Schizosaccharomyces pombe: one gene and its partners. The gene in region 3 interacts genetically with the main gene of each other region. Each region holds a gene or a part of one and is shown on either strand. Other genes may lie near its edges.

What was found.
Region 1: mutations in cwf28 (region 3) and SPOM_SPAC9E9.04 together harm fitness more than expected from each alone (negative genetic interaction), as found in Schizosaccharomyces pombe (one large-scale study listed by BioGRID).
Region 2: mutations in cwf28 (region 3) and mpf2 together harm fitness more than expected from each alone (negative genetic interaction), as found in Schizosaccharomyces pombe (one large-scale study listed by BioGRID).
Region 4: mutations in cwf28 (region 3) and atf21 together harm fitness more than expected from each alone (negative genetic interaction), as found in Schizosaccharomyces pombe (one large-scale study listed by BioGRID).

What each region holds. Positions count from the first base shown.
Region 1 is NC_003424.3:4,441,470-4,449,192, reverse strand, and holds SPOM_SPAC9E9.04 (bcap family protein), read right to left. Parts: upstream 6,164-7,723; 5' UTR 6,116-6,163; coding exon 5,960-6,115; intron 5,675-5,959; coding exon 5,264-5,674; 3' UTR 4,997-5,263; downstream 1-4,996. Other genes in the region: GTPase Ypt2, read left to right, coding at 1-278; SPOM_SPAC9E9.06C (threonine synthase), read left to right, coding at 1,725-1,793, 1,852-3,327; sor1 (sororin), read right to left, coding at 3,791-4,732; 3-isopropylmalate dehydratase Leu2, read right to left, coding at 6,821-7,723.
Region 2 is NC_003421.2:384,005-392,757, forward strand, and holds mpf2 (meiotic pumilio family RNA-binding protein Mpf2), read right to left. Parts: upstream 4,232-8,753; coding exon 2,120-4,231; 3' UTR 2,016-2,119; downstream 1-2,015. Other genes in the region: transcription factor TFIIH complex subunit Ssl1, read left to right, coding at 469-686, 817-1,864; ggc1 (guanine nucleotide transporter), read right to left, coding at 4,698-5,214, 5,314-5,408, 5,530-5,820; proteasome regulatory subunit Rpn8, read left to right, coding at 6,743-6,793, 6,838-7,761; ctl1 (choline transmembrane transporter family protein), read right to left, coding at 8,319-8,430, 8,482-8,753.
Region 3 is NC_003423.3:3,988,032-3,996,251, forward strand, and holds cwf28 (splicing factor Cwf28), read right to left. Parts: upstream 4,955-8,220; 5' UTR 4,807-4,954; coding exon 3,661-4,806; 3' UTR 3,581-3,660; downstream 1-3,580. Other genes in the region: serine/threonine protein kinase Ppk25, read right to left, coding at 1-1,255; fes1 (Hsp70 nucleotide exchange factor), read left to right, coding at 2,636-3,499; signal recognition particle receptor alpha subunit Srp101, read left to right, coding at 5,426-5,626, 5,805-6,965, 7,044-7,325; oms1 (methyltransferase), read left to right, coding at 7,607-8,220. UniProt on the Schizosaccharomyces pombe protein: Involved in spliceosome maturation and the first step of pre-mRNA splicing.
Region 4 is NC_003423.3:1,719,326-1,727,747, reverse strand, and holds atf21 (Atf-CREB family transcription factor Atf21), read right to left. Parts: upstream 4,736-8,422; coding exon 3,668-4,735; 3' UTR 3,298-3,667; downstream 1-3,297. Other genes in the region: rpl802 (60S ribosomal protein uL2), read right to left, coding at 310-1,071; mRNA guanylyltransferase Ceg1, read right to left, coding at 1,693-2,901; mrpl35 (mitochondrial ribosomal protein subunit L35), read left to right, coding at 7,271-8,197.

The DNA of each region.
Region 1 (7,723 bases), on a different chromosome or scaffold from region 3:
AACATGCTAGTGAAAATGTTTATAAAATCCTTATTGGAAATAAATGTGATTGTGAGGATCAGCGTCAGGTCTCCTTTGAACAGGGACAAGCGTTAGCCGATGAGCTGGGCGTTAAATTTTTAGAAGCTAGTGCGAAGACGAACGTCAATGTAGATGAGGCATTTTTTACCCTTGCCCGGGAAATAAAAAAACAAAAGATTGATGCAGAAAACGAATTTTCCAACCAGGCAAATAACGTTGACCTCGGAAACGATCGTACGGTGAAGAGGTGTTGTTAGGCTCCTTATTATTATCTTGTCACATTTTCTTTTTCGCTAGTTTTTGATATTAGCACCGCCGATACGTATATAGTCGTGAAGTGTGTGGAGAGCTTGAAGGAGTGGAGATTGGCATTGCTTTTTATATCTTGTGTTGGTTATCGTTTCCGGATTGCTACTTTGTTTCCTTACTCTTTTCAACTCTACCCGGTTGGGAAGTTTATAATATTTCTCTATATTGTACACTTTCTCTTACTTTTTAATGCTTTCATAACGTAAAATTTATGCCTAATAGCTTCAATCAACTTTTGATATGCTTTCGAGTTGTTGTGATTAGATCGAGTTTACATTTTGGAATATAATCAATTCCCATGTTTTTTTTTTCAACGTCTCTTTTTTCATTGCAATTTCCTTAACATTTCAAAAAGTAATGCCTTTGCTTTTTCTTGGGGCCATTTTCCAATGTTTCTCGCGAATCCTTTTATCAATTTGCAACGAGCAATCAAGCACCATCTAATTCGTCCTGTTGATCTACCTCATTTATTTTTTACGGCTGCTGCCTATTGTTTTAAATGTTTGGGCCACTGAACCAAGTTTACATTTTTCATCATGTTATACCGATTTGATTAGGTTGTCATCAATCGAAACGTCTTTTAACGCCTATCTTTTACATATTTTAATTGCCTTATCTTCATCTTCATTTAAACGTAAGATGACTACTTACCTTGTTACATTGTAGATTTTATTTTATTTTTATCTTGCAACGAGACCACAACAGAAGCCTTTCCAAGATTACCACTTCAGCATCTTAATCTTTTTAAACAACGTATTACTATATGAAAGTCGATGTACCAGATTATTGCCAAGATTAAAACGATTTCAGCAATGTAGAGTAATTTGGCATACTCATACTCTTGTTTGTTTACGTTTTTGTTAACTACGCAATTGCTAACCAAGATAACGATGTGTTACTTTGCGGTAAGTCTCAACTTGGGATTTTACTATTTTCTTTTCATGACAATTTAACGATATGCAATTATATATATATCGATAGTCAGGTTGGACTTAATGTACAATTACCAGCTGATAGCTGATAATTGAAATATGAAACGCAGGAAATTTGATTCAATTTATAATATTTTCATTTTAGGATATATTAAAAATTACGAATACATTTCCGTTTTGGGTGACAAATATAAAACTTAAGAACAAAAAATGTAGCGAAGCATACCGTAAAATGGAGTAGTGTAGTGAGCAATAGCCACGGGTTCAGAAAATAATAAATTCGAAAAAAACCAACTCAAAGAGCTACTATAGTGAAAATTAACGATACTATCTTTAAAATATTTACGTTGGTACACTCAATTTTGTAAACTGTTGATAACACGAAAGATTGCAAGGTTCTCTGAAAAATGGCGGATTTTATTTACCAAGAACAAGCAACGTTCTGTTTTGGGAAATAGCGAAATGTCTAGCCAAGTTAGTTATTTATCGACTCGTGGTGGATCTTCAAATTTTTCTTTTGAAGAGGCTGTGGTATGTCACAAATGCGTCTTACTTATAACTCGGTTTACTAATTGCCATTACTGTATAGCTTAAGGGTTTGGCTAATGATGGAGGATTGTTTATTCCATCAGAAATCCCTCAGCTACCTAGCGGATGGATTGAGGCTTGGAAGGACAAATCCTTCCCTGAAATTGCCTTTGAGGTAATGTCTTTGTACATTCCTCGCTCTGAAATTTCAGCTGATGAATTGAAAAAATTGGTTGATCGCTCTTACTCTACCTTCCGCCACCCAGAGACTACTCCTCTAAAATCATTAAAGAACGGTCTCAATGTACTTGAGCTCTTCCATGGTCCTACTTTTGCGTTCAAAGATGTTGCTTTGCAATTTCTTGGTAACCTCTTTGAATTTTTCCTTACTCGTAAGAACGGAAACAAACCTGAAGACGAACGTGATCATCTGACCGTGGTTGGTGCCACTAGTGGTGACACTGGTAGTGCAGCTATCTATGGCTTACGTGGCAAGAAGGACGTTTCAGTTTTTATCTTATTTCCCAATGGACGTGTTTCCCCTATCCAAGAAGCTCAGATGACTACAGTCACAGATCCTAACGTTCACTGTATCACTGTGAACGGCGTCTTTGACGATTGTCAAGATCTTGTTAAACAAATTTTTGGCGATGTTGAGTTTAATAAGAAGCATCATATTGGTGCCGTTAATTCTATTAACTGGGCTCGTATTCTCTCTCAAATTACCTATTACTTATATTCTTATCTTTCCGTTTACAAGCAAGGAAAGGCTGACGATGTTCGTTTCATCGTTCCCACCGGTAATTTTGGTGATATTCTCGCTGGTTACTACGCCAAGCGTATGGGCTTACCTACTAAACAACTTGTTATTGCTACTAACGAGAATGATATTTTGAATCGTTTCTTCAAGACTGGTCGTTATGAAAAAGCTGATTCTACTCAAGTTTCGCCCAGTGGACCTATTTCCGCCAAAGAAACTTACTCTCCTGCAATGGACATTTTGGTTTCTTCTAACTTCGAGCGTTACTTATGGTATCTTGCATTAGCCACTGAGGCTCCTAATCATACTCCTGCTGAGGCCTCGGAAATTTTGTCTCGCTGGATGAATGAATTCAAACGTGATGGAACAGTTACTGTCCGTCCCGAGGTTTTGGAAGCCGCTAGACGTGATTTCGTGAGTGAACGTGTTAGTAATGATGAAACCATTGATGCTATTAAAAAAATCTATGAAAGTGATCATTATATCATCGACCCACACACTGCTGTTGGCGTCGAAACTGGTCTTCGTTGCTTAGAGAAGACTAAGGACCAGGATATTACCTATATTTGCCTTTCCACAGCTCATCCTGCTAAGTTTGACAAAGCAGTAAACCTTGCTCTTTCTTCTTATAGTGATTATAACTTTAACACACAAGTATTACCGATAGAGTTTGATGGCCTCTTGGATGAGGAGCGCACCTGCATTTTCTCAGGAAAACCCAATATTGACATTCTTAAACAAATTATTGAAGTTACTCTCAGCAGAGAGAAAGCTTAGAGGATTTAGGGATACCATTGTTACCGTTACTTTGTTTCTTTTCAAAAAAAAAATAAAAAAATCTGATTCCCGGTATTTTTTAGTTATATAGAAGTTGACTTTACATATCCATAGTATTAATTCGTTTTTGGAGTCGTCAAAATTTTTGAGGTTTAAGCTTAATCTTTAGCAAGACACTTTCATCCATTCTTTTGTTTATTTTTTTCTCCTTTTTTTTAAATTTATTTTTACTTGAAGATATGTAATGAAAATTTCAAATGATTGACTTAGCTTTTGTATTTATAGACATGGTTCTATATAGTTTCGTCTTTGTTTGCGTCAATGAACCCCATTATTAAGCATAGTATTATAGTAAATTATCCCAGCAATTAATAGTAAGCATCAAAAAACGAGGGAAACGAGGATTAATGAAGCATAACCTAGCTTACACCATGAGGTATACGCAGATGCAATCAATTTTTAATTATCCTTCGTTTACTACGTGTAGCTGATAATCGTCGACATCTTGGAAGTACTTCTTTATGCTTTTTAAATACTCTTTTTTGCCGGGAGTAAGTTCTTTCAAATTATCATTTTCTTCATCTGATGAACCAGTGTTGTTGTCATTATCAGAAGCTGTATCCTTATCTTGCGAATGATATGTTTTCAAAATTTTCTTTTCTTTTACACCTTTCCGTCGCTTTCGCAAGTTGAATGCACTTTTCACCGGTGATCTTGCAATGCTGTCTGAATAACTAGGGTCCTCATCAGAATGAATGGCAGGTGGTGAAGAAGATTTGGTTTCATATAGCCCAGATAAATCAATGTCATCATCTCGCCGCCGTTTTTTTCTCAAACGCGTTAAATGATGCCCATGTGGAACAGGTATAAGTCGTTCAAGTTGCTTTGAATCCATTGGCTTTGATGTGTTGCTCAGATTGGACGGTGTGATTTTTCTCTGCTGTAAAGATGAAGTAGAAAGAAGAGAAAGAGGAATAGGTGAAGATGATTCTGAGCCATTAGGAGGCAGAAGCGGAGAGGAAGAAGGAGGTAGCTCTGGAGTTGAAGGAGATGCAATTGAGACAGTTGGTACAGACTGTTGATTTTCATCGGCAGATCTTATTTGGAGAGCTTCGTTATAATCAATTTCACCTATTTCTAATGTAGGAGGCGAGGAGGGAAGAATTCTGTTATATGACATATTAGAGGTTTCGTTGAATCCCTTAGAAAGTGTATTAACAAGATCATTGGAATTAATCGAAGATAAACGAATCCCTTTTGTTGAGCTGAAGCCAAACGGATCATCATTACTTGAAGAAGGAGGCACAATTTCAACGCTTTTGAATCTGTGAGATAACTTCTTATTTTCTGGCGTCGAAGTCTCAATTACATGGGCAGTTTTAACAAAAGAATCATCGGAATCCATGTTATATTATGAGAAAATTCGAATGAATTAAGCCGCCAGAAGAGATTTCAATGCATTTCACTTTTGTATATTGCGTACAGTTTTTACTGAATCTTTGATTCCAATGTCAAGATTATACTGTTACCTACGTTACTTTGAAAAGAAATGCAAGAAATCCATTGCAAAATTGCAATGAAAGAAAAATTACATTGCTCTTTCTTTTTAACATATATTATTTACACCCTATCAAAATACAGATGAAACAAAACACGACAAACTAACGGTATGGTGGTAGTCATTTATTTATATTTATAACCTAAATCGTATAAAACAACAGCATCGTTAACTAATCCATCACTTTATGAAAATAAAATAATTTTTAGCGTATACTTCCCGGGACGTAAATATGAGGAAATAAAGGGGTGAAGGGCTCACGTAGTAAATCCAAGGCGAAGAATGAACGACAAATGAGGACACAGTAAAAGCATGAATTTGACGGTTTGTACAAATTAAAAAATAATTTTAAATCTGCCATGGAGAAAAGGGGGGAAATTAGATATCCTTCTTCTTTTCGACAGTTTTGGTAACTGCAGCATATTTTTCAGCCAATGTCTCGTATTCCTTATCACGGGTCTCCAACTTTGTACGAAGAGTCTCAAGCTCTTCCACGGCCTTAGCATTATTAGTGCTAGCTTCTACTTGAGTTTGTAAAGCTTGCATTTTATCTTGAGCAGCTATCATGGCCTCTAAGGCAAGGTAATAACGATTGACAACTAAAGAGAGGAACAACGCAGATCCGCAGAGATACAAATTTCTTTGAGCGTAGAATTGGCTAGCCTTATATCCCGAACGAGCACTTTCGGTGGTGCTAGGAGCGGCAATAGCAAGATCATATTCTTTGGTCACACGAACAACACGGCGAACAGAGTCAGCAAACAGAATCAAGATGCAAATAATAGTAATCTAAAAGTATTAGCATACAAGAAAAGAAGGGAAAATAAGATATGGGAAGAAGGAAAAAATCAATCAGGTATCAAAGTCAACATATATTTGCCATGCAAAGCATAATAAACATTTTAAGCTATTTTTCTATAGAATCGTAAAGTGAATAATTCCATCTTCCTACGAGAAAGGATGTGGAATCTGTTTTTCGCATTCATTGCAACTAGCTATCTACTATCAGGATGAAGTGATACACTGAAAATTTACACCCAATTATTTTTACAATATTTATAATGTGATCCTTACCTTTAAAACATGTTTCACTCTTCCGGCGAAGGGGGAGTTGCTAATGGCATTCAAAATGGCTCTTCGAACTTTAAGTGGTAATGGCAGAGAAAGTATTACAAATGATACTATCTCTACCATTAAGAGCATAAAAACAATCATGTAGTAAATCGTCATTTTGATAATTCAAGAAAGTTTTCTACAAAAAAACGTATGGGAAAGGACAAGTGAGAATAACGCTTTCCTTAAATAATAGTTCATTAGTTTTTCCTATGACGTAAGCTCTTGAACTTGCTGATTTTAAGCCAAAAAGTCATGCCGTTAAATTAAGCTGACTCTGAGGTTGAAGTTAAAAGACCATTTCTGACCAAGTCTCTTTGCAGGTTTCGCTCACATCAAAGAAAAACAGTAAACAAATACAGTTCTACCATACTAACATCTTACCAAGCGCATTGCTACTGCGTTTCCTCGAAGTTTTACGAAAGTTAAGCGGACATACACTATACGTTTTTGTTCTTTAACACAGTAACTTACGACATACTAACAAAAAATCAGCTTCCACAAAGTCGAAAGACAGATTCATCTGATTATTTTTAGCGTCGTCTACAGTCGTATATATATATATATATATATTTATAACACTACCTGCTAGATACTTTCAACATTTTCGTTAACTTTGCTCAAACAACCCTATAACAGCTACTATATAACACCTTTACTGTACTTGGATATGAAGCTATTAGTATGATATTTCCGACAGGCTCTTATTGTAAATAAACAGTATATGACAACATATTACAAACAAAATTGATCAATTAAAAAAAAGAATGAAAGAAGAAAAACTTTTTTTAAACATAAATAAACAAGGGAGACTGACTTTGCTCACCAATCGTTCCTGCTAGAAGATTGCTTATTGCTTTTAACAGGTGAAAGGCGAGCCCGGCTGCGCTTGATATTCATCCAAGGGAAGTTTTCTTCTCTAGCAGCCTCAAAAGCGTCAATCATAGTTTCTTTTTGCAAAGTCAGTCCGATGTCATCCAAACCATTAACCAAACAATGTTTACGGAAAGGCTCAACATCAAATTTGACTTGTTTATCACCATAAGTTATAGTTTGATTAACAAGATCGACAGAGAATTTGACTTGATTTTCAGCGGCTTTCATCATATCATTAACTTGCTCAATTGGAGTAGGAATAGGAAGCATACCATTCTTGAAGCAGTTATTGAAGAAAATGTCAGCAAAAGACGGTGCAATAATTACACGAATGCCAAAATCGTTTAATGCCCATGGAGCATGCTCACGAGAGCTACCACAACCGAAGTTGTCGTGAGCAACCAAAACAGTTGCATGTCGGTAAGGTTCGCGATTGAGGACAAAGTCGGGTATCTCCTTTCCGTCCGCATCGTAACGGATTTCGTAGAAAGCAAATTGACCAAGACCGGTACGTTTAATGGTCTTCAAAAATTGCTTGGGAATAATTTTGTCAGTGTCGACATTAGCCATAGGCAAAGGAGCAGCAATGCCTTCAACGACGGTGAATTTGGGAATACCGGCAGATCCAGAAGATACAGAACCAGCAACATTAGTGGCAATGCCATCAGCATCAGTAACTGCATCAGTAGCATCGTCAACAGAAAGGCCTATATCACCCTCTACATCATGGCTGGGATCATAGTTCTTGTTAGTAATAATAGAAGGAGATCCGTTGGAAACATCTCCAAAAAATTCACGAACATTACAGAGATGTCCTTTAATAGCGGCAGCGGCAGCCATAGCGGGACT
Region 2 (8,753 bases), on a different chromosome or scaffold from region 3:
CATAATTTCCTAAGTTTTTTCAAATAACAGAAATAGTTGTATACAAATTTCATATCACAAATCAAAGACTGATAAACACGAATTAACGCAGCATAACGAAATTCATTATTATATTTAACAAATAATGGTTGCGCTCCTTGTCCGTATTGTCTTCGTGTAAATGGTCTCTTGTTCTAGTACTTACTTAGTCTTACCATTTTACTGGTATGCCCAGGAGTCATTGCTTTTTAAAAAAATAAAACTAAAAATAATAAAAGAAAGAACTTTCGCTCATTGCATGTAAAGCAACTCGACGCGACTATTCAAATTACCAAAAGTTCACTGGGTAAAACGTGACTTGAAGAAATACATTCGCTTTGAGTTCTTTAGTCTGTAGAAACCAAGGAATAGAATTTGTGCAATATTCATTTATCTAATTATCAAATAGCGTTCTGGCATAATACCTATGCTCGGTTAAAATAACACTCAATGAATGAGAACCAAAAAAGTTTTGACTCTGACAAGTCGGAAAGCGAGGATGAACAAAAAAATGGAAGAGTTAAAGTAAGAAGCAGGAAAACTGACGATAATGAGGGTTATACTTGGGAAGGTGAATATCAGCGTTCTTGGGATATCGTACAGGAGGACGCAGAGGGTAGTTTAGTAGGCGTTATCGCTGGGCTTATTCAAAGCGGGAAACGTAAAAGGTATGGCGTATCAAAATTGGTTTTCTTATGTTCTTCATTTGTTTGTTAGTTGCCTATGTTGGGCATTTGGAAACATATTAGTCTTTTATAGCATCGATGAACGGTATACTAACTTGTCAATCTGATTTAGACTTCTTAGAGATACAACTCCGTTACAACGAGGTATTATTAGACACATGGTCTTGGTGTTAGATTTGAGCAACTCTATGGAGGAGCGTGATTTTCATCATAAGCGGTTCGACCTTCAGATAAAGTATGCTTCTGAATTTGTTCTTGAGTTTTTTGAACAAAATCCTATTTCCCAATTATCGATTATAGGCGTAATGGATGGAATCGCTCATCGGATAACTGATTTGCATGGGAATCCTCAATCGCATATTCAGAAGCTTAAATCTCTTCGAGATTGTAGTGGAAACTTCTCTCTTCAAAATGCTCTCGAAATGGCTAGAGCTTCTTTATCACACATTGCTTCCCATGGCACTAGAGAAGTCCTTATCATTTTTGGTTCCATCTTATCATCAGACCCTGGCGACATTTTCAAGACGATTGATGCTCTGGTTCATGATTCTATTCGTGTCCGTATCGTTGGTTTGGCTGCTGAAGTCGCCATTTGTAAAGAAATTTGTAATAAAACTAACTCATCTACGAAAAATGCCTACGGCGTAGTCATCAGTGAACAACATTTTCGCGAACTTCTACTCGAAAGCACAATACCTCCTGCTACTGATTCGGCTAAAACCACTGATGCTTCTTTGGTAATGATGGGATTTCCTTCTAAGGTCGTTGAGCAATTGCCAAGTCTTTGTGCTTGCCATTCAATTCCGTCTCGTGGTGGGTTTCATTGTCCTCGTTGTAAAGCAAAAGTTTGTACTTTACCGATCGAATGCCCTAGTTGTTCTCTCGTTCTAATCCTTTCAACACATCTTGCTCGATCTTATCATCATTTGTTTCCATTGAAAAACTGGAGCGAAATTCCTTGGTCCGCAAATCCAAAGTCCACTCATTGCTTTGCGTGTCAGTTACCTTTTCCGAAGCCGCCGGTTTCACCGTTTGACGAATCTACTTCATCGATGCGGTATGCATGTCCCTCGTGTAAAAATCATTTTTGTTTGGATTGCGATGTTTTTGCGCATGAACAACTTCATGAGTGTTATGGATGCCAATGCTCCGGAAATTAAAGTTTCTTTTGGTATATTAATGAACGCATTTATTTATAATAATTATTTTAAAATACTATTATGCTACTTATTCACAAATATGTAAAGAGATATATATTTCAATTTACTTATTTAAAGAGATCGTTGCTTAACTACCTTATCCGGAAGATAGTGAAAATTTGATCTATTGATGCTTCAGTAAGTGTTAGAGCTGTATCATATATAAAATAAAAACTAATTAAAATGTGGAAATGAATATATCCCTATATTTACAGATCAGAGGTCAGTATTGCAGTTGTAGTTGATTACAGAGGAAACCTGTTTTTGAGAATTCCATTTCTCGACTAAATAAGCAACCTTCTGACCGTACTTGCTTCCCCGAAGAGAAACCATGTGCTTTTTTATATGCGTAATGACAAGGTTTTTCTCAGCTGGTTGACCAAGTTGAATTATTTGCTGAATTAAATAGTTGCCATACTGATCAGATGCAATATCGATTAAAGGCTGCCTTGTTCGGTCAACTCTCGCGTTTGTAATTTGTTTTAGATATAAGGAAATGAAATTTTTTGGGCCAGACTTAATTGCTTTTTCAATGACCTTAGAGGCAAATTGGTCAATACTAAATTCCACTGCACGATTCAATAATGCATCAATGACTCTTTTCAAATCCTCTCCTTGTCCGTTTTCTACCATGTGTTGCACCACCCAGTTTCCCCATTGACCACGTGCAATACCGTCTAAATGAAAAATGATTTCCTCAATGCATTCACGCTTATCTTTCTCTACACAGTTCTCAAACATATTTTGGACTACGAGACTTCCATTTTCCCCGACTGCAACTTCGTGCCATTTTCCTCTCAAGGCATTGTTTACGCGATTCATGACATTAACTGGATACTCGTACCATTGCGTTTCAAACAATTTTTGCCAGACATGGCATGCATAGTGGTGCATTATTGTAACATCAATAGTGAGGAATAACTCGTCCATCATAGCCAGTTTAATATCTTCTGTCACATTATCTATTGCCTTTTGAACAACGTGGCATCCGAAAGGATCTGTTGCCAATTTTAACATATTTCCCAACATGGCAGATCCCATTTGTCGAATTTGTGGGGCAGTGCCATGCTCAAAACATCTTTGAACTAAGAAATTCCCAAAGCGGTTAAGCATCAGAGGATGGATTTGAGATATTATGGAATCAACAATGTTTTGTTTCATATCATAAGAAGAAATTTTCAGCTTCTGTTGAAGGAATATCGAAGATTGCTGATCATTGCTTACAATAATTTTATCAATTATAACATTCCAATCATATACAGCATTCCTTTCAGAGATTTTTCTGTATCGGGCAGCTGGTTCTCTTGAAGAAGTAGACTCGGGGATGACAGATGGGTTCGAGTTATTCATAGTTTCCCATATGGACTGTAAACTGGCGGCACTATTTACTCCTTTCGAGTACGAAGAACTCCGAGAAGAGCTGAGTGAGTATGGCTTTAACGTGCCAGACGTATTCGTACTCAAGTTATTTGTGGATGCCGAGAGATTCACTTCATTCGACCAACTATCACGGTTCTTAACTGTATAAGTTCCAAGATCGACATCCTCTGGAGATAATGGTGTTGACGGTTTAGAATTGCTATATCGAACATTGGTACGGATCGATGGTAATGAGTTATGGGATTTTAGCTTGCAATTGTCCGATTGGAAATTAGCTAACGAAGCCTCATAAGGGTTAAAATTCGAAGAAGATATCCATGGTGAAACTGAAAAACGAAATTTTGGATCTCCGTTTCTATTAGAGTTCAAATTTTCCTCAGAAGAAGATGCAGACAATATATTTTCACCTGTTACGTTTTTGACTGCTGTTCCAAATACAGGAGCATTCGTGGATTTAATACTGTTCGAACTTAATTTTCGAGAATAATTCAACGAACTTGAAACATCAGCCAAAGCAGTTGCCGAAGGAACAGACAAAGAATCCTGCAATGACATGCTCTTAGGAGCTGAAGTTGCGTATACTGCATGCTTTTTAGTCCCAACAACAGGTCGAACTAATTCTACAGAAACAGAGGTAGATGGGTTATGAGCAAATGCATCATTTTGAGAAGAAGCCCCATCAGACATGATATTTGCATTAGACAAGAGCGTTTGTAATTCTTCAATATGTTTCGTTTTGGTACACAAATCTCTTTTCTGATTGTCGATCTCTCGTTGTTGACGTTGAACAACAGTGCTTAATGCATGGAGTTTCTTTGTAATATCGAAATAAGATTCGCTTTCACTAACATTTGAAAGTTCATTTAATTCTGACTTGGAATGCTCCAGCGATTCAGAGATTGAATGATTTGCAGAAGTCGAAGGTAGCCTTAAATCAATTGACTGCATAATAAACTCTATAAATAAAAACTAATATTTAATGGATATGGTTTTTTCTGTTCTTTCGGAAATTGGATATTGGTGGATGAAGAGTTGCTGACACCAGGCTATAAATATCCAACCAAAACAAATAGTGTTTACCAAGGTAAGTTCACTCAGAAAAATAAACAATAACAGAAACAAACAAAATAAACAAAACAAACACCAATCGAAGTAATATTTGAGAAAATAAGTAGATTAAGGACAAGTATATCTAAAAAAATTAAAAGAAAAACAAAATATTTGTTAGTATTTTTACAAAGTAAAAGATCAATAACAGTCTCAAAAAAAAACTTTCTTCACTTTTGAATGACAAAAACAAAAAGAACCAAAAAGTAAAGTCTTTCAAAAGATTACAACCCCAATGAATTATTTATATAGAAAAACAGAGCACACTCAACAATATTTCAACATTGAAATGAAGAAATAAAGCATATTATTTCAAAAGCTTATCAAAGAAGGGGATAAGGGTTTGAGCCATGGTAAATGAAAAAACAAGCTTAGGACCAGTTGTCAACAATTTGGGAGTCAACCCTTTAAAGAACGAGGTAGGTCCTTCGAATTTAAGCATATTTTTCAAAATAGTAAACCCGGATTGAGGGTTATCAAAATTCTTATTTTGAATACGAGTTTTAATAACATCGAGAGGGGCAGAGACAATCAAACTAGCAGAAGCACCAGCGATTGAGGTGAAAAAATTTTGAAAAAAAGTGGCTTGAGAGTAATCCTTTAGTTTAAATATGTACTCCTTAGCAAAAGCGTTACCACCAAAGAGTGCAAAAGAACCTGGGGCATTGCGGGCGGCAGTCCATCCCCATCCACGATACAACGCAAATTTCTCATCAGCGAGAATTCTGAAAACACCGCGACCTTTAAAAGCTGCAGGATTGGTTTGGCGCTTAATTTTCAGGACGTCTAAGGGAAGGAGGAAGATCTCTCCAATTCCAACGATACTGAAAAGTTAGTAAGCTATACACATCTTGAATTCCCTTTTCAACAATCTTAAACATAAGCTTTCAGCTTAGTTAAACAAATATTCGACAGATACATACCTTCCAGCAGTAGCATGCATAATGGCTTTTCCAGATCCCTTTCCAAAAGTTTTATCAAAAGTATGTCTATAATTTTCATTCAAAAAGTCTTTTACCTGAACATGTTAGTAAAGATGAACGAGTATACTGAAGCCAACTGCGATACATTAATTCCGCCATCAAGGCTTGGAAAAAACGTACGCTTTAAACTACCAGTATAAGTACTCTACAACATACAATTGGTTGACCGCTATATTTATAAATACGTTGTACAATTTTGTAGCAAGCAGCATAGCCCAAACCAGGAAAAAGAGAGGTAGCCTTTTGGAGTAGAGGAGCAGAGGCAGCATCTCTGAAAATTACAGTGTTAAGTTGAGTTAAAGAAGTAATTTTTCCATGATTTGACATCAAACGCTTGGAAATTGTATCAACAGGATGAAAGAGTGAAAGTTCGAGAATTCCGGCAGATGCTGATCCCACAATTCGAGCGGTTTGCGACTCTTTGTTTTTCAACTGAACAGGAGCCATCTTTCTCTATCTATTTAAAAATTTAATTAATAACCAAAAAGTTTCGTTGTGTTGAAAAAGAAAAGTTAAAGGATTTTAGTGTAGTGAACTTTTATTGAAATTTTTTTCATTTTTTGATAAGAACTGATAGCCTTCGTTTTAGAGATAAGATGAAATATCGTTGTTCTCAAATAGTGATCTATGTTTTTCTGTTAATATTTTTAAACGTTTGAAATAATTCCAAAAACACAAATCCTATTAATGTAAGTTTGCAAAAAATCTCATGCATATGGCTTTGATGAAACGTGTGGACATACAAAATATCTGAATTCTAACTGTTTCAATTGCTTCAGACGAAAACTTTTAAGAACGTTCTTACTGAAAGTTTCTTTTACTTGTTTCATCGTAAATATAGTCATCGAACAGATATTTAATGAACTTTTGGAATGCGTCTCACGTGTATTTCGGTTTGATTAAGTAGTTAAAAGTGATATACTATGCTTCAAATCGAAATACCAGCATGTAATTTGATATGCAAAGTATTTCTTTAAAAAAAGAGCAGATGGTTTCAAGATATGTCTTCAATATTTAATGTCCATGTCTTTTCAGAATTTATTTGAGTAAATTACGTGCAATTACACGTTTAACATGATTTAAATGTATAGCTCTTCAATCCTTTCTACATATGAGAGGGAGTGTAATATAATTGCCATTTAGTAGCCTAATGGAATGATCATTGTTTAAAGCATTGTTATATTACAGCGCTTAATAGGTAGTTGGGCATTTGAAAGTATCGTAATATTTCTGTAATGAACTATGTCTTAACTTGCGGTAAGTAGGAAACCGCTGCAGCATGTGATGAGAGGTTACACGCTTTCAACCTTTCGTTTGCCATACACAGTTGAAGTTGTGAGAGACAAATTTTTAATATAAACCGGTTATAATGCCTCCTGCAGTGAGCTCTGAAACCTCTACAATCGTCCCACAGCAAGTTGTAAGTAGAAAATTTGAGAAACTTTTTTATTAACCATTGGTTAGATTGTGCATCCATTAGTACTTCTGTCAGCAGTAGATTCTTATAATCGATCTGCCAAGGGAACCAAAAGACGGGTCGTTGGTATTCTATTGGGTCAAAATAATGGCGACGTTGTAAACGTGGCCAATAGTTATGCTATACCATTTGAGGAAGATGAAAAGAATGCATCGGTTTGGTTTTTGGACCATAATTTTATGGAATCAATGAATGAAATGTTTAAAAAAATCAATGCAAATGAAAAATTAGTTGGCTGGTATCATACTGGACCACAACTCCGACCCTCTGATTTGGAAATCAACAACTTACTTAAAAAATACATACCCAATCCCGTTCTTGTCATTATCGATGTAAAGCCCAAATCAGTGGGTCTTCCGACTAATGCCTACTTTGCCATTGATGAAATTGAAGACGACGGCTCTAAGTCCAGCAGAACTTTTGTTCATCTACCCTCCAGTATAGAGGCAGAGGAAGCAGAGGAAATTGGTGTTGAACACTTGTTACGTGATACTCGTGATGCATCCGTTGGTACTTTAGCGACAAGAGTTACCCAGCAGGCACAATCTTTACAAGGCCTTGGGCAGCGTCTCACTGAAATCGCAGATTACTTAAGGAAAGTCGTGGATGGGCAACTACCTATAAATCATGCTATCCTTGCCGAGCTTCAGAGTGTGTTTAATCTTTTGCCTAACATTTTTAGCGGTCCTGTGGTTTCAGAACAGGCCTTGGAATCAGAGGCACAACGTGCTTTCAATGTGAATTCCAATGATCAGTTGATGTCCATTTATATTTCCAGCATCGTGAGGGCCGTGATTGCTCTTCATGATCTTTTGGATTCTTTGGCTGCTAGTAAAGCTATGGAACAGCAGGACATAAAGCCAACTGTTCAAAATGGAGAAGTTTCGGCTAATGCCGAACAAAAGGCTTAATCACTGTATTCATACTATCCATGTCTGGCTTCTATCATTTGTGGACTCCTCTTTCTGAGATTTAACGACTTTATCTAACGTAGGTTTTTTATTTCAATGTCTAAGTATCATAGAGTTTTTATTTATATCTTGTCTTTTCGCAGACAGTTTTGCAGATATTTGTAACCCTCTTAACTTGTAAAAGTTACACGTCGGGTTCGGGTTTATTTGCTTGTATGTTAAAAATGATATGTCTACGTTTGTTAAATTGTATTTACGAAGGATAAAAGTGTAATTTTAAGTTAGTACGAAGAAATTGCATACAAAATATCATATTTTAATTTACAGTGATATGATGGATAGCTTGAGAAAAAACTTTTCATGAAAAGAAATCCTAGCAAACGCCAAGGTGTCAATGTTAAAAAGTAGGCTGACATTATATTAATGAAGTAAAAGGGAATAGGGATACGCGTACAGGTGACCAGCATCTCTTTCTTTGAGCTCTTTGATGAAAGTAGGTTCTAAGGAAGTTAAAAGAAACAGAAAAACAGCAAAAGAAGTAATTCGCATTTTTGGTTTTAATATCCATTTGATTCAAAAAGCTGCCATGCCTCGAAACAGTGAGAACCATTAGGATCTCCTTGGCAGCTAGAAATATCGATAATAGAGCATATAAGTAACGCATCCACACTGTGAAAAAGTTAGTATTTTACGCGAGGATAACTAAATATAATTACTCACATCATGCTGAGGCCGCCCTCTATGGCGCCAATGATAAGCCAAGCAAGGAATCCGCCTAAAAGTCCTACAATGTAGCCATAAAAGACACCATTTTCATGAATGGAATAATTCCACGAAGTAACGCCAACTCCTATAGCGAGGAGGGAACGAGCGGCTAGCAAAGTGTATTTAGAAAAATAGTAGGAACGTCGGCGTAATCCTACTCGGTTCAATTGTTCGATTTGATACAAAGCCTTGGACGCATTCATGTACGGGACTGAGTAAATTGATGC
Region 3 (8,220 bases):
TAGCAGTAATTTTCTCTGTCAAATCCATCGCACCCAGAATTTCTGAATGATGCCGTTGGTGTCTACTATATACAGGAGGTAAAGCCGTTGGAATTCGAAGTGCTGGAGCGAGACTTTCGACACCCAATAAATACAGACAGACTAATGAAGTTGTTTTTCTCTCAATGTAAGCCATGTAAAGTTCATGTTTTAGTTCGGGAATACTTGCTAAACCATGCTCATGTAACAGCTGTAAAACCTTTAAATTAAAAGGCGGTTTGAAAACATGAGATCGGATTGAAGGCGTTGAGGGAATAGAGGTTAAGGGAATAGGCAGATACAAACAAAACGAATTTTTTTTTAACCAGGGAAATTTTGCTGCTTGTTCTAAAGAACAGCGCTTCCGTGGGTTTACATTCAGCATAGCTGCAATAAGAGAACAACAATCTTCTGAAATGTAAGAAGGAAACTCCAGTTTACCCGACTTTATTTTTGAATGGAGCATAGGAACGGAAACGTCGTCAAATGGGACTCGTCCACAAACCATAACATAAATCACTACTCCCAGGCTCCAAACATCAACCTCTGGGCCTATGTACGGCTTTGCATCAAGTAATTCTGGGGCCGCAAAATAAAGACTCCCACAGTATGTACGTAATAAATCGTCTTTACTATAAAAATTACTGAGGCCAAAGTCAATTAGCTTCACCTGACGAGAATCCTGAGTTAAAAGAACATTCTCAATTTTTAAGTCTCTGTGTACAATAAAATTCTTGTGAAGATAAACCAATGCATTAATCAACTGCATAGCAAAACTCCTAGCCAAATCTTCATCGAGTTTGCCACGAGCAAGGATGTACTCCAAAAGTTGTCCTCCAGGAACGTATTCGAACAGTATGTAAGTACATGCAGGCGTCCGGATACAGTCTATTACCCGGCATATGTTGGGATGTCTCAATAAACGACCTAAAAGTGCCTCCCTTTGAACACGAACTGTCTGACTTGTATTATTAGGAGTAAAGGGAATCATTTTGAGAGCTGCTTTCTCTCCTGTTAAAATATTTACAACGAGTTTAACCTTTCCCATACTGCCAGCACCAATTGTTTTCTTGATAATCCAGTTTCCAACTTGTCGACCAGGACCAGCTGTGCCAACGAAATCAGATATAGACCTTTGATGTTTTGTAGACTGATTTATTTTTATATTCTGAGAGCGTTTAGGAATAGAGAAAGTATCCCAGCACTCATTCCTTAGGTTAGTTGTGTTCGGTTTCATCTTCTCAGCTGTAAAAGGAATTTATGAACAAAATTGTGCTTAAATAATTCAATTACAAATGAAGTTAAGAAAGGAAGAAGTAGTGTCTTAGATAAAATTATCATAAAAAGAAAACTCACTTCACATAAAAAGATATATTGTTCTTAGTAACAACAATACTATTAAAGTGTTTTTATCACTGTAACGCTTAACTTATGTAAAAGCAGACATTTAATTTTCAAGTGAGAATCCACTCACATGGAGTTTGCTAAAGGTTGAGACACTCCTCTCAAGGTTCTTCCCTTGGCAAAATTATTTGGTTTGGTCAGTATGGTACACGGGACGCGTCGCGACGTTAATTAATTTGTTTCGTTAGTGTGCGTTATACAAAATGTAAACAAATAATAAAACTCGTCAGAAAACTTACCCTTATTTACCAGTATCTTACAACAAATGCATTGGATTTATGAAGGTTACTTAAATTTGTTCTTTTTTTACATTAAAGAAAAAAAATTATGGTTTTGAGTATTTAAAAGCGATGGTTTTACTTTTTTTGGATTTTGCAATTTTAAGCATCATGTTGATCAATTGATGTTTTCTTATAATAAATGAAATGAATGGATAAATTTTTATCAAAAGCCCATTAGTAGTTATTTTTTTTTATAGCTGTTATGATAATTGATCCAATAACTTAGATTATACTAATTGACTACAATGCGTTGTGTTACTTCTTTTACAATAATGGTTGAAAGTCAGATGCTTAAAAATGAATTGTTGATTTTCAGTTCTAAGAAATAGTACATTATACATACTGCTCACTGTTTGTTTTTTTCTACCAATAATTAATATCGCCTGAAAAGAATTAAAAGTAGCTTTACTGAAATGCTTCAAAATAGTAGCATGTACTTCAATCTTAAAATAGTGTTATAAATATTTTAAGAGTGAGAAGAAAGCTTTTATTCTTTATTCCAAAGATCCACTTCTCAACTAATACGTATATTCCAGCGTAGTACATTTATATTTCTTAAAATTTCATCCGCAGCTTTCCTACACATGATCCATTCAGTTTAGCTTGCAAACACGTTACTAAGCAACTTAAGGATCTGCACAGTTGTGTTAAGATTAATTATGTGAAGTTTATACCTTCGTAAAAGTTGCTTAACGAACCCTAATATATTTATTTAGGATTTTGCTAGAATACTCTAGGCAGTAATCTACTTCGCATTTATAAGTGCAAGTTCCCATTAAAGCTTTAAGACTTTTTTGTATCTTACCATTTTTACTAACTTTTGCTACTTTTTCTTTTTGAATTTTTATTTGAATAAGCATTTTCTACCCAAACCGAAATTTTTATTCAAAAGTTCAAATTTTTAGGTATTATTATTGTTTATTCTTGACACAATGGAGAAACTTTTGGCCTTCAGTACGCAGTTGCAAGCTCAAGGAAACTCTTCCAATTCTCCTCCTGATCCTAAAGACCTTGATCCCTCAGTTTTAGATCATATTTTTGGAGCAAACCCAGCTGATGAAATGAGGAAAGCGATGGACGCAATTGAGGATCCATCGGTACCTTTAGATCAGAAAGAGATAGCTTTTGACAACTTAGAAATGCTCGTAGAGCATATTGACAATGCAAATAATTTGGTTCCCCTGCAATTGTGGCCTCGCCTATTGAAACAGCTTGAGAGTCCGGAATCTACCTTGCGCAGATTAGCTGCTTGGACGATCGCAACTGCCGTTCAAAATAATCCTAAATCTCAACAAGCGCTTATAGAAAATGATGGATTGAAGATTCTCTTCGGCGCCCTAAAAAAAGAGGATTCGGATGAAACAAAAAATAAAGTCCTTTATGCAATAACTAGTGAGCTTAAACTTAACGAAGCTGGAATTGCTTTATTAGATAAAATCCCAAACTCTTGGGAAATGCTGATTGAAATCTTGGAGCTTAAACACTCGGTTATGACAAAACGAGTTATCTTTTTTTTCTATGCATTACTTATTCAAGAAGATAAATCAAAACAAATTATTCTTCAAAAGGCACACGAATTTCAGATTCCAGAAAAAGTTTATCAATTCAGTCTTGAACATTCTGTCGATGAGGATTGTGTTACCAAATCTCTTCATACACTTTATTTATTCCAGAAAAATAAAGTGTCTGTCGCAAATACTAACGAGTTATTAAAGTCGCTCGTACAATTTAAGTCAGAGTTTCCTGAAATTTTCACCGTCGATGAATGGAAAGCATTTCACGAAGCTCTTGAATAAAGGTTGAAAGCTTCGATTACTATTTTTATTATTCATGTGGACTACGGAGCAATATAATGAGATGTTTTATTTCGTTTATGACTGATAAACAATTTTTTGGTTATTTGGAAAGGATACTCTAGTAACTGTGGTACTTAAAAAGTAAGATAATCGTAAATTCATTAAAGTGTACGAGTACTTCTGTAACTTCTATCTGGATTTTCTCTCTCAGTATATCTATCGCTTCTATGAGAACGTTTTTTATATGAATAACTCCTTCCTTGATAGTAATCATCTGAATAACGGTCTGTTCGATGTTGTTTCCGGCGCTCCGAATGGTATTCGCGATACTTAGTTCTGTCTGGATCTCTATCGCGTTTGTTGTAATTTCGTGAATTATAATCTAAATGTTTACTGCTCACTGAAGACTCTCTTGAGAGGTTGTTATCTCGGCTTCTTTTTCTGAATAGTTCTGAACTGGGAGTTAAGTTGTCAATGGAATTTGACTTCTTCTGTACTTCAGTATGTTCGTTTTGTGAATTCAGAGCGGAATTTGATTCTAGAGGCTTAACAGGAAGAAACATAGTCTTTTTTGGATTTTTCCAAATATCCAGCTCAGTAAGTTCGGAATCCACAGGCTTGGCTCCCATACCCAAAAACGTCGGCCTTTGATTAACATCAAAAGCATCTTTAGAAGATAATTGACCATTCCAACCCATTCCTCGAAGCATGGCGGCGCCAAATTCTTCAACCGGAATTTCCGAGTAATCTTTCATATTAGAAGGCTCCGGAAGCTCGTCAATGTCTTTTCTATATGCATCTTTCTCGTTAACAACATTAGTGGTAATCGGCTGTAAGTTGGCAGAATTAGCACTTTTAACATCGTCATTTAAATCATTAAGGACAAGTTGGACTTCTTCAGGAAGAATATCAGTACTTTCTTTATTTGTGGCTATCTTATTTTGAGCCTTTTCATTTGAATTATTTGCCTTCCAGTCCACAATTTCATTATCCGCTGCTGATGAAGAAGCCACCCGAATATTTAGACCATAATTTAAGCCGCTATCTGGCAATTGTGAAGGTTTCTCATGAACTTCTGTTTCTTTTTTTTTAAACCTGGCTTTTCTTTTTTCCATCCAGTTCTCATCACTTGCAATGTGGATTATCTTTGGCGCTCTTTTCTTTTCGTGTATGCGCTGAATAGTTTCATTCTGATAATGAACTCCCTCTTCAGCGCTAAATCCAGTAATAAGTTGAGGACCTTTTAATTTTTTTTCATCTTCATCCTCAGAATCGCTGAATGCTTCTAATACGGCTTTTCGCTTCATCAGAGTTATTATGATAACTCACTTGTTTGCGACTAAGCGTATTACAATGAACAAAAAAAATAAAATGGCAAAAATCGGCCAGATTATAAGTAGGAAGGAAAGTTTAAAATTACAGTGAAAATAGTCTTGAGAATAATCACATTCGTACAATGAGAGTTGTGAAGCTTTTCAGGAATTTTTCGTTGCCCAGACATGGAATAGTGTGTGCTCCCTTTACCTCTTTATTTGGATTACAGAATTCATGCTCATTTCTCCCTTACTTAAAACGCACCTTCAAATAGCAGTAAAAAAATAGCTTTTTTATTTAGTGGCATTTTTTATTAATATAAAAGTATAAACAATTTTGGTTGAAACGAAAGCCTACTGTTAATATCAACCTTTAGTCTCAAATTGCATCTATCCTTGTATAATATTGCATACAACAAGTTTTAAGGTAATCTTTAAAATACGTTAAGAAAAATATGTTTAAGCAAATAGCTTAACTCAATTAGCACCATAGATTTGGTATAGTGCGTTATTATGTATTGTACGGCAGTGAGCAATGTGTTTAATCAAGAACACTCCTTCTTAGTTGGTGAGTAGTTTACTACTTTTAAAGCCATTTGTGATTGAGCCTGGAATGATTGACTTGTTTGCGATAGTTAATAAAGGAGGCATAGTACTTTGGAAAAAAACAAATTCTCTTGTTAATTTGAAATGCCTTCAAGTTTTATTTCACGAAGCTTTCTTAAGTGAGCAAAGAACGGTGAACAACACCGTAACATTTGATCGGTACACCATGCAGTATCAAGAGGCTACACAATATAGCATAGTTTTTGTGGTAAGTTTAATATATTGTGATTTGTGCTTTGACAGAAATTGTCAATTACTATACACCCAAAATGAGGTCCAAAAATTTTTTTGTTTATACTTTATCTTTGATTTTCTATTATTTGTCAAAGTCAAAGCCATACCTTTATCGTGTCATTTGAACTTAATTAACGCGGTTGAATTTTTAGGTTGTGTTTCAAGATTTGAAATGTATGGCATATTCTCAATCACTGCTTAATAGTGCTCATAATATATTTCTGAATCTATTTAAAGAAAAATTAGAAGATCGTCAAGTTCCTAATGAAGCAGAAGTTGAAAAACTGTTCGCTCCCATTTTTAATCGTAAATCAGCACAACTGGAGAATGAAACAGACACGAAATCTTTACCTGTTGAGGCTAATAATGATAACTCAGCAAGAAAGAAAAATGAATATGAAATGAAGAAAAAAGGCGCTCAATCCAAGCAAACAAATGCCCCTAAAAAAGGAAAGAAGCAACTCAGAAAATGGGATGATCAAATAACTGAGGAAGAACAGGCTGCATTGAACTATTCTAGTCAAGCATCTTCTGCTTCCCAAACAGTCGATAATTCCCAACTTTCTTCTATTGTGGGTAATAATAATAAGTTTCAAAAGACTGGTAGTGGTGATGTTATTATAAGTGATTTGGAAATGGATCCCAATCAAACAATTTCCAATAAATCTGCATCTTCTGCGTTTTCCCTTTTCTCCAACTTAATAGGTGGGAAATACTTGAAGGAGGAGGATCTTAGTCCAATTTTAAAGCAAATGCAAGAACATTTAACAAAAAAGAATGTCGCAAATTCTATAGCTCTGGAGCTTTGTGAATCTGTGAAGGCTTCGTTGATAAACAAAAAAGTTGGTTCGTTTGATACTGTGAAAAACACAGTAAACAAGGCCTTTCGGGATAGGCTTACTCAAATACTCACCCCAAGTACATCTTTGGACCTTTTGCATAGTATTCGTTCTGTACGCAAAAACGAAAACCGTCCGTATACCATTTCTCTCATTGGCGTCAATGGTGTTGGAAAATCTACAACATTGGCTAAAATAGCGTATTGGCTTTTATCTAACAACTTTCGAATCTTAGTTGCTGCCTGCGATACTTTTCGCTCGGGTGCAATTGAACAACTCGGAGTACATGTGAAAAATCTCCAAAGTTTGAAGGGTAGCTCCATTGAATTATTTGCACAGGGATATGGTAAAGACTCGAGCTTTGTTGTTAAGAACGCTGTTGAGTATGCCAAGCAAAATAGTTTTGATGTTATATTAATTGATACTGCTGGCCGGAGACATAACGATCAAAGGCTTATGGGATCATTGGAAAAGGTAATTACTTACAAAATTGATTAAGTATTGAGTCTTCTACTAAGATAGAATTGTTTGAACTTTGAACTAACATAACAGTTTACTAAAGCTACTAAGCTGGATAAAATTTTTCAAGTGGCAGAAGCATTAGTAGGAACAGATTCCTTAGCACAAGCAAAACATTTCCAAGCTTCCCTTTATCATCGCCCATTGGATGGTTTTATTATTTCTAAAGTTGATACTGTGGGTCAGCTAGTTGGTGTTATGGTTGGCATGGTATACGCGGTAAGGGTACCTATCATATTCGTAGGCATTGGACAAACTTACAGTGATCTTCGTACATTATCAGTCGACTGGGTAGTTGATCAACTGATGAAGTAAGCCATTAAATGTTTACCTTTAACTATAAGATTTTTTACCATATTATATTAATGGGATATCAATTACTTTGGTAACAATTTTTTTAAGCTTAATTGTTTTTTTATTTGTTCGTTGAATCAGTATTCGAGATTTAGTTTTGTATTGGTTTCCGTTTAGTACCTTTCGCAGTGCGCGTGTGGGTCAATTTAGCGATTTCAAATATTCTAATATCAAACCGCTAAAATCTTGTTTTTCTCATTTCATTCATTCAGCGATTAAAATACTTAAAAATATTAAAAAACATGGGCATATTAAAGAAAACTATCTTTATAGGAGGTATATACGGTCTAGGTGTCTACATTGGTGCGGTAGCTTGGAGGTTGAGGAAAGATGTTCTCAATTATGAATCGCGACAGAAGTCAGACTTATTAATTCCGAACAGCAATAGTATTTCAATTTATAATCAAATTGCTGATAAATATAGCAGAAAAATTACGCGAGAGGAAATATTTTCTGGAATATATTTTCTTCGATATTTCCTCTTACGAAATGCGAAGGGTGATGTATTAGAAGTTGGGAGTGGACCAGGTACTAATTTCCCATTTTACAAGTGGAAAAAAATTAACACTCTAACACTGGTTGAGCCGGCTGAAAAAATGCGTGAAATTGCAGATGCTCGTGCTAAAAAAAAGGTACCTCCAAATGTATTGTATCGACAATTTGCAGACTTGCGTCAGCTTCCGCCAAACCAAAGTTATGACACTATCATTCAAACATTTTGTATTTGCTCTCAAGAAAAAGCGGTCGAACAATTAAATAACTATCGCTCTTTATTGCGTTCCGATGGTCGTATTTTACTGATAGAACATGGCAAAGGAAAATACAAGTTCCTAAATAGAATTTTAAATGCATATGC
Region 4 (8,422 bases), 2.3 Mb from region 3:
CAGAGAGGTTTCAGGTAGACAATCCTTCATCGAGGGAATGACAGTTGATTTCGCCTGTCACTCAGAAATGAAAACCGTATCAGAAATACCTTTCTATGGTAAAATTAAGTACTATGACCGCTTTGTATATTACGGACAATAAAATATGTGTTTAAACGGTTAATAAGGAGGTTCATTACCAGTTTTAGTTTCAATTCATATCATCCATTTCTGTATATCAAATTCGCATCACCGCATAACATTTATTATAACATAGCCTAACAAATAACAAATCCTTTGCTAACCCTTTTTTTAACTTTTAAAATAAATTTAGTTTTCGACAGCAGCAGCACCACGCAAAAGACCGGTTCTACGAGCAGCAATAAGACCAACCTTTTGACCAGGAGCGGATTGGCGAGGAACGGTAGTAGAGTGACCAACGTGTTGATGGTTACCACCACCGTGAGGGTGATCGACGGGGTTCATAGCGACACCACGAGTACGAGGCCAGCAGTTACGCTTGACGCGGTACTTGTGGAATGCACGTCCAGCCTTGAGCAAAGGCTTGTCAATACGACCACCACCAGCAACAATACCGACAACACCACGAGCAGAAGAAGGGACAACCTTCTTAGCACCAGAGGGCAACTTGACACGGGTCTTGCCAGTGTCAACATCATGTCCGACAATGATAACATAGTTACCAGAAGAACGACCCAATGCACCACGGTCACCGGCCTTCTCCTCAACGTTGGAAATAATGGTACCCTCGGGCATCTCACCAACAGGCAAGACATTACCAACGGTCAAAGCAGCGTTTTTACCGCAGTAAACGAATTGGCCAGTGTACATACCCTCAGTTGCAACAAAGGTTTCAACATCAGTTCTGTAGTGATAAGGATTACGGAAAGCAACCTTGGCCAACGGAGCACCACGGCCAGGGTCATGAATGATCTTTTGGACGACACCACGAATGTATCCATGACGCTCAGCAAAGTCCAAAGTACGGAGCTGAGCAGCACCCTTACGAAGACGGGTATGAGCTTGGAAAATTCCACCACTCTTTCTTTGAGCTCTGATCACACGTCCCATTGTTAGTTTGTTGAAAGAGTATGTAACAGATTGGTGTACAAATCAGTCAGGCCTTGTTTCGAAAAGTACTCGTGACTGCTTTTGTGTAATATAGAGAAGTTCATCGTTAGTGTCTTAAAACCTAGTAACATTCTATTACGAGATACTGCGATAAAATACTATTCTTAGTATGAATGTAAAGAATTTGTAAGGCATAAACATTATTAAATTAAAGTGCATAGATTTTACTCTTCCATGCTGGGAGTTCCGAGCTTCATTTAAATAGTAAACTGGTTGTGAAATAAGGCGAATTCAAAATAAATAAATTGATGATCAATATGGCGATTCAAAAAAAGAGAGAGATTATATTCGTTACTGAAATTTGCGATAGCAATAGCGATGTAGCAAGTTGAAAAATCTAAGTCAGTAGTCCATGCTTTAAAAGTAAAAACGATAAGTAGTCAAATTAAACCTTCATAGCTTTTTTTTTCTTAATTCTAAGGGTCCGTGCATAAACACTTTAGAAGTCCAATTATATTGGCCTTGAAGGTCGGATATTAATGGCTGACCAGCTTTCAACATTTTTGCGTTCTTTTGGTATAGGAATCAATTAAATATTCCTTTTGTTTTTGTTAAAAGATCTTAAATTTCTTTTTCACTTTCCTTAGCTACTTTTTTGATTGCAGGAGCATCATCATTAGAGGTTTCATCTAATTTCCGTTTCGTTACTGAGGGTTTCTTTCTGTTGTAATAAGCTTCACGGATAATAGGCATCTCTTTGAGAAGGTCTTCTTTAGAAACGCCATCTTCTATGCTCTGCAATACACTTTTAACTGTACTGATATGGTTTGCATCTCGTTTATCATCACGAAAACGTAAAAATCTCCAACGATTTTCATCATCCAGATAGCACTCTACTATTCTTTCCGATAAAGGAACATTAAAGCTTTTCAATTTTTCCCATTCTTTTTCATCAACATACATGAAGGCAAAAAAAGAGTACATGTTCCTACCCTCCCATACACCAAGTTGAAATTCTGGCATGGCTGAATAATCAATGTCCCCTTCTTCAGGCTGTGCAAATTCCAGCTTTAGCATAAAGTCTATTGTATTCATTTCTTTTGGTTTCCACTTCAAAAGCGACTGGTCAGTGCCAGATACATAAGGAGTTTCCGTACATGTAAAGATAAGTCCATCATTACCATGACGAAGTCGGGGGATCACTTCATTAAATAACTTTAGGATACCATGACCCAGCTCCATTTTTTTTAACGATGTGAGAAAAGGAAATATGGCAGTTTCGCGCATATGAGTCTTTGTATATTCATCTAAGGGCTTTTGAATGCTTTTAGCAAAAATTCCCAAGCGTTTGTCAAGCAATCGACTCATATAAACAATTCCATCACATGCCAAACAATCAAAGACTAAATATCTCAGTTGCTTCTTACCACCTGGATAGATATCTAAAACCAACTCACCGTCCAAAAGTGTATCAACATGATATTTTTTTCCAGATTTGTCATTTTCAACTGGATAAAAAATTTTCTCAACATGATAAAAATTCATTTTACGATCAAATAAATATACACTGGGTCGATTTTCGTACCGAGGATGCTCGGTCATATAAAGTAAACAACGAATTCCATCACTTTTTTCACATACGAAATAGTTCTTTTCTTTTAATGCTTGTAAATGTTTCTTTGAAAAAGAAACTGGCTGTGATCCAGGAAATGTATCAGGACTTGTTCCTAATAATTTGGCAATTCGTGTCTTTAAAACCCTCACATCGTCGCGCGGTGCTAAAACTCCAGGGACTGATACCTCTTCAATGTCTTTCTCTGAGGGTGCCATTCCTTTTAATAATACACTCGTTTCTTTGCTAAGAGAGGGCTTAAGCACTTTCTGAAGGAGTAGAAACGGGATATAGTCTTAATGTACTAAATAAAGACACATGGTTTGTATAAAAATTCCTTATGCAGTATAGTGATCTTTTGCTGCAAAACGCAAAAATGCATATAATTATAGCTGCTCTACGAATACTGTTATCTTTTCTACCATTTACTTCAGAAAGTGTTATTCTATTACTTAATTTTTTTTTTATTCCAAAGCAAACAATATATGTAACTGTGGTGTCGTACTGAAGATAAAATGACATGTCTGTGAACGAGGTACAGATTATATGGCAGTGATTACAGATTTGGCTCATCTAGGTCAAGTTCGTAAAGCAATCGTAACCTATTAAAAAAATACATATAGGGAAGATATATCATTACAGTAATTATTAATCTGGAAATGAAACGTGCGTAAAGGATCTTCGAAACATAAACACTTTTAATGAAGAAACATGAATGAAAAACCCAAGCAATTGAATGAAACGAGTTTGGAGTGAGATTGCAAATCCCATGAACACAGTGACGCGAAGAAAATAATAGTATTGTGAAAAAAGAAAAATAAAATATGCCAGAGTTAAAGTACAATTACTATAGACAAGCAGTAGAGCAGCACTGGCCGTCTTTTAAGCATCTCCTATTGCAAGATTCTATCCAGGCTCTCAGAAATGCATATACAGTATAATAAAAAAATGTTACGAAACTTGATTCAATGGGGTGTCATTTGCTCAATGTTTCTGAAAGGACATAATTCCTTGAGCCTCTGAAGAAAGATATTGTCGAATTCCTTCGCAATTGCAATCTTGATGAGCTAATAGTTGATTCTTCAAACAAATTACTTCTTCACGTAGTTGGCTGACTAAAATCCTTAGAGCTTTCGACTGCTCACATGCGATATGTGCTGTTTTTTCGAGATTCTGTGTCCAAAGCTTTTTCTTTTGGCGGCATTTCGATGCGGCTATTCGATTTCTCTCTAAAAACCGCCTCCTCTTCATATCAGGAGTTTCATTGTTACTAGCGGTATGAACATTGTTACTGCCAGGTGTACCCCGTCGTTGACTGGAGGCGACGGTTTTATTGGAACAGGACTCATCGCTGCTGTTGTAGTCTCCATTTGGAGATTGAGACTGCTTCTTGTTGGAGTTTAAGTATCCTTCTCTACGTAAGGATTCAAGATTATAGAAAATCTCATCGTTATTCGCAGTAGCGGAATTCTTATATAGGTCCAAACCTTTTTCTTGTTCCGCTCCTGTTAGATTAACATTGTTTTGCATAAGATTTGACTGCACTACGTATGGGGCGTTGGTTCCATTTTGGAATTGTGGATGAAGCACTTGATGAGATCCATTATTATAATGATTCAAAGTACTACCTTCAGAGTATAATGAAGGTGCAACAATTGTTGAGCGTACAGGAGGAGTATTTGTAGGCTGGCCTTTGTCATTATTGTTAGAAATCTCCGAAAGGTTTACCGTTTGAGGTAATGATACCTCTGAAGTACGCTCGGGTCCTTTGAGGTAATGTCCAATGCTAGCATCACCTACTATTGAAGCGTAGTTATTATGTGAATTCGAGGGAAAGGATGTTTGATCTTTAGGTCCCTGGACTGGACCTCTACATTCATATACTCCGATATCGCTAGATTCAGCGCGTTTTTCTCCAACTTCATGGTTACCACCATCGCGGAATGTATTGAAGTTAAAATGAAAATCATGGTGAGTGCCATTACTGACGCTAGCACCATATCCTTCATTACCTAGTGTATCTAACCCGAGATACACATTTGCGAAATCCATGATGGAAGATTGATGATGAGCAAGTTAATTTTCTATTGAGTGCGGTTGAAATGGTTTCGACGGTAAAGCCGATGAAGATAGTTGATACAAGAACGGACTAAATAAAAAGCGAAAGTTTCTTTTTTGTTAGTAGTGCGAATATGTAGTGATTTCTTGAAGAAGGTTAAATCTTAAAAAGAGGCTATGTTATTCAGGTGCTGGCGAAACAAATTGGGAAGGGAAGATGAAGCAAATTGTGGTCGATCAAGTGACGCAAATTTGGATTGATGAATAAGGATGCAATATCTTTGTATAAAATTTCTGAATAGTGATCCCTGTGAACTTCTTCAAAAAAGTAAATAAAAGAAAATGAAGAATGTATAAACCGACAAGTTGGTGATTTGAAACTTAGGAGCTATCAATGGAAAAGTTTCTTTCAATTATATAAATGTGTTCTCTCTTTATTTTTCCTCTGTTTTAAGCATGCAGTAGTGTCCCGGTTTTAGGAAATGAACGAACGATAAAGGAAGGGATGACAATTCGTCGTTCTACAGAAGGATGGAATGGATTAATGGCAAAAGTGAGGATTCCTGGGAAAATAAGTATATATATATAAGGTGGACAGAGAAAGAAGGTAAAGGATAATGAAGGTGGTGAAGGAAGCAATGTCTTACTGCGTCCCTGGCAAGTAAAGAGGCTTATAAACAATAGAGAACTATGTACTAAGGTGGTTTAAGATACCAATTCCTTAATTTTGGACTTGGATTACTATAAGAATACGTTTCTGCTGAGAAATATGATGCTGCAGTCGGTAACTTTTTGGTTTGTGTCGCAATGTTTATATATGTTGATCGGGTGAGATGAATTTTGACGTCACTGCAAAACAAACAAACGAAGGGCTAGGGTAGCCAATCGGGAAATGATTTGTTTACTTTATGAGATGAACTTGCCGTATAGAAATAAAAAGTTTTTCTTTATAAAAATTTATTTTTTTTTTGTTTGAAGGGATTTGTTGCAATTAACAAAGGCACTATGCTAAAAAAGTCAAGCAGTATTATCCTTTAAGGCCTCCATTTTAAGGAGCTAACCGAAGGGGACTACATTCACGTGTCGCTCCACTGTGTAATATTTACATCACAGTCGTACCGTTAATTGGCCACCATATTCGGAAAGGAAAATCTAGAGTTCTATTTGATGCAGATTATGTCAAATATAATCAGGATTTACTTTTATTTAAACCAATCAAAAAATAGCCGATTACTTGTGGAGAGATAATAACGCTATCCCTCGGTATTCGTAGTCGTCAATAGTAAAGTTGTGAATGCGAAAATATAATATCGCCTCTCTTGCTAGCTTTTTTCATATTTATTTCCTTTAATGGTTTTGATGAAACTACCTAGGCTTCAAATTTTGTCGTTCTCTTACGCGCGCCACCATAAACGGCTTTATCGTTACTGATAATAATAGCTCATATCATTACTATTAGTAGCCTTTCCGCTATCAATCCTTTCTCAAAATTTAGCCGCAACTTGTTTCTAATACTTCTTCATCTTTCTTGCCCACATTTACTTATATTGTCGCAAGCAAGAGTAACATGTTATTGATTTAAATCTGGTTTGCCAGAATTCTCATTTTTAGTATGTATACTATCATATCTTTTAACTATACACGAGATGAAGTTTAACTTTTGGTCACATTAAATCAAAATAGACAGAACGGATCGTACATACGACCATGAGTTAGCCACTGGATTGAATCAGTTCTGCAAATCGAAAGATGTTGAACTTCGCAGTTGACAATATGAGAATACTTTAGCAACATCTGGAATATTTAATTAAGCTCTACGTCAATTTGGTAGAAATGTGACTATCTAAGATATAGTTGGCAATTTCCCGAATTCATAGGATATCACCTTTAAACCTTTTGACTTAATTTAATGATATTATTTTTCTTTATTTTAATTTACTGAGATGTAAATGCCGTGATTGTTGCATGTGTATACCTCAGATAATAATTGGACGTAGACACTATTGATTAACCCACGTAGCTATTTCACTTCTTTTGAATATTTTTCTCTTATTCATTCCTTCCGATTGCTGAATTTTCAATGCAGCCGTCAAATTAGGAACATATTACTTCATACGGACTCTGACTCATGATTCACTATGTGTCGTCGAGTCAATATATTTTCATTATAGTCATTGAAACTTACTGACTTTTGCAAATGACCGTTTCATATAACTTGTAGCTTTTGGTTAAACATGAACGCTATTGCTACAGTCTAGTTCCCATTAGAAGCAGCTTACGGGAGTAGAATTGTTGCTTAAACCTACCACTAAAACTTTGGTCATAACCTTGAAGGGACTCGGTATGATTGACCTTTTCCAATTAACATGTTTAACATCCACAGTTTCCATTTCTAATTTTATTTTGTATAACCGTAAATATCGAAAAAGCTGTGCATTAGCATTCCTTACACTGCGCTATACCCTCTTGTGTTATTCTATTCCTATACACATCCATACCGTTAATTACTTAGCTTTTACCATTGCAAGGATGAAACGCGTATGGCCTAGAATTCCTACGATTTCGAATGTCTGTAGGGCTCGCAGTATTTACAGTGCTGCTCAGGAAAATGCATATCGCTCTTCTGTAAAGTTAATACAGGAATACTCGGAGAAAGTTCACAAAAAGCTTCAGGCTAAATTATTAGAAAACCCAAGTGAAACTTCCCCAGAAATAGAACGGTTACAGGTTTTATCACAAATTAATTTACCGGAAGTACGCTCTAAATTTCATAAAAAGGAGATCGACTACACGAATCCGGTGTTCCTTTACATGCTTAAGCAACAGTGGGAAGATTATCAAAAATTGCTTCTTTTACAAAGATTGGAGCAGATGAAAGTAATAAAGGACTCTGGGATTGGCTCATTTTCGCCATCTGTCGACGTACAGTTAGGATTTAACCCCGAAAATAATGATTCTATCACTCCTGGCACTATCTTGCCAAGTACGGTTACTGTAAAGACCCCGTGGCTATCAGTTTTACCCTTTAATTGTAAAAAGAATCATTATTCAGTTATAACACTAGATTTGGATGTCCCGAATTACGAAACAAACCGGTTTGAGACTCATTGCAACTGGCTTTTAACGAATATCCCCATTGAAGCATCCAAACGTGTGCCCATTGATACTTCTAAAGCTTTCTTTCAATATCGGCCTCCTATTGTTCACCGTGGAGAAGATAAACACCGTATCTTAACCCTTGTTTTGCGGCAAAAGTCATCTAGTATTAGTATTCCTTCTAATGCACTTGTCCGCGAACGATTTGACCTCTCTGAGTTTTGCTCAATCTATGATCTTGAACCTGTTGGCGCTCATCTTTGGAGAAGTGGCTGGGATTCGGACGCAGTTGCATTATTATCCAAGCACCCGTCTGTACACGAATATCGAGATATCCGTGTAGAACGTATCCCTGCATGAAACTACTAAAAGAGCCCCTAAAATATTGTTTTTATAAGTCATTTTTTCATTCCATGTTTCAAAACATTAGCATGCATTGCTTCCCTCCTCTCGTGTCAAAATAGTTTATCTTTTACATGATTTCCCTTCTTAGGTTTTTTTAAGACGATAGCCTTGTTCCATAGTCCTATTTTACTTTCCTCTTATTAAATCAATTGCAAATCTGTGAATAAAATGCCTATCCTA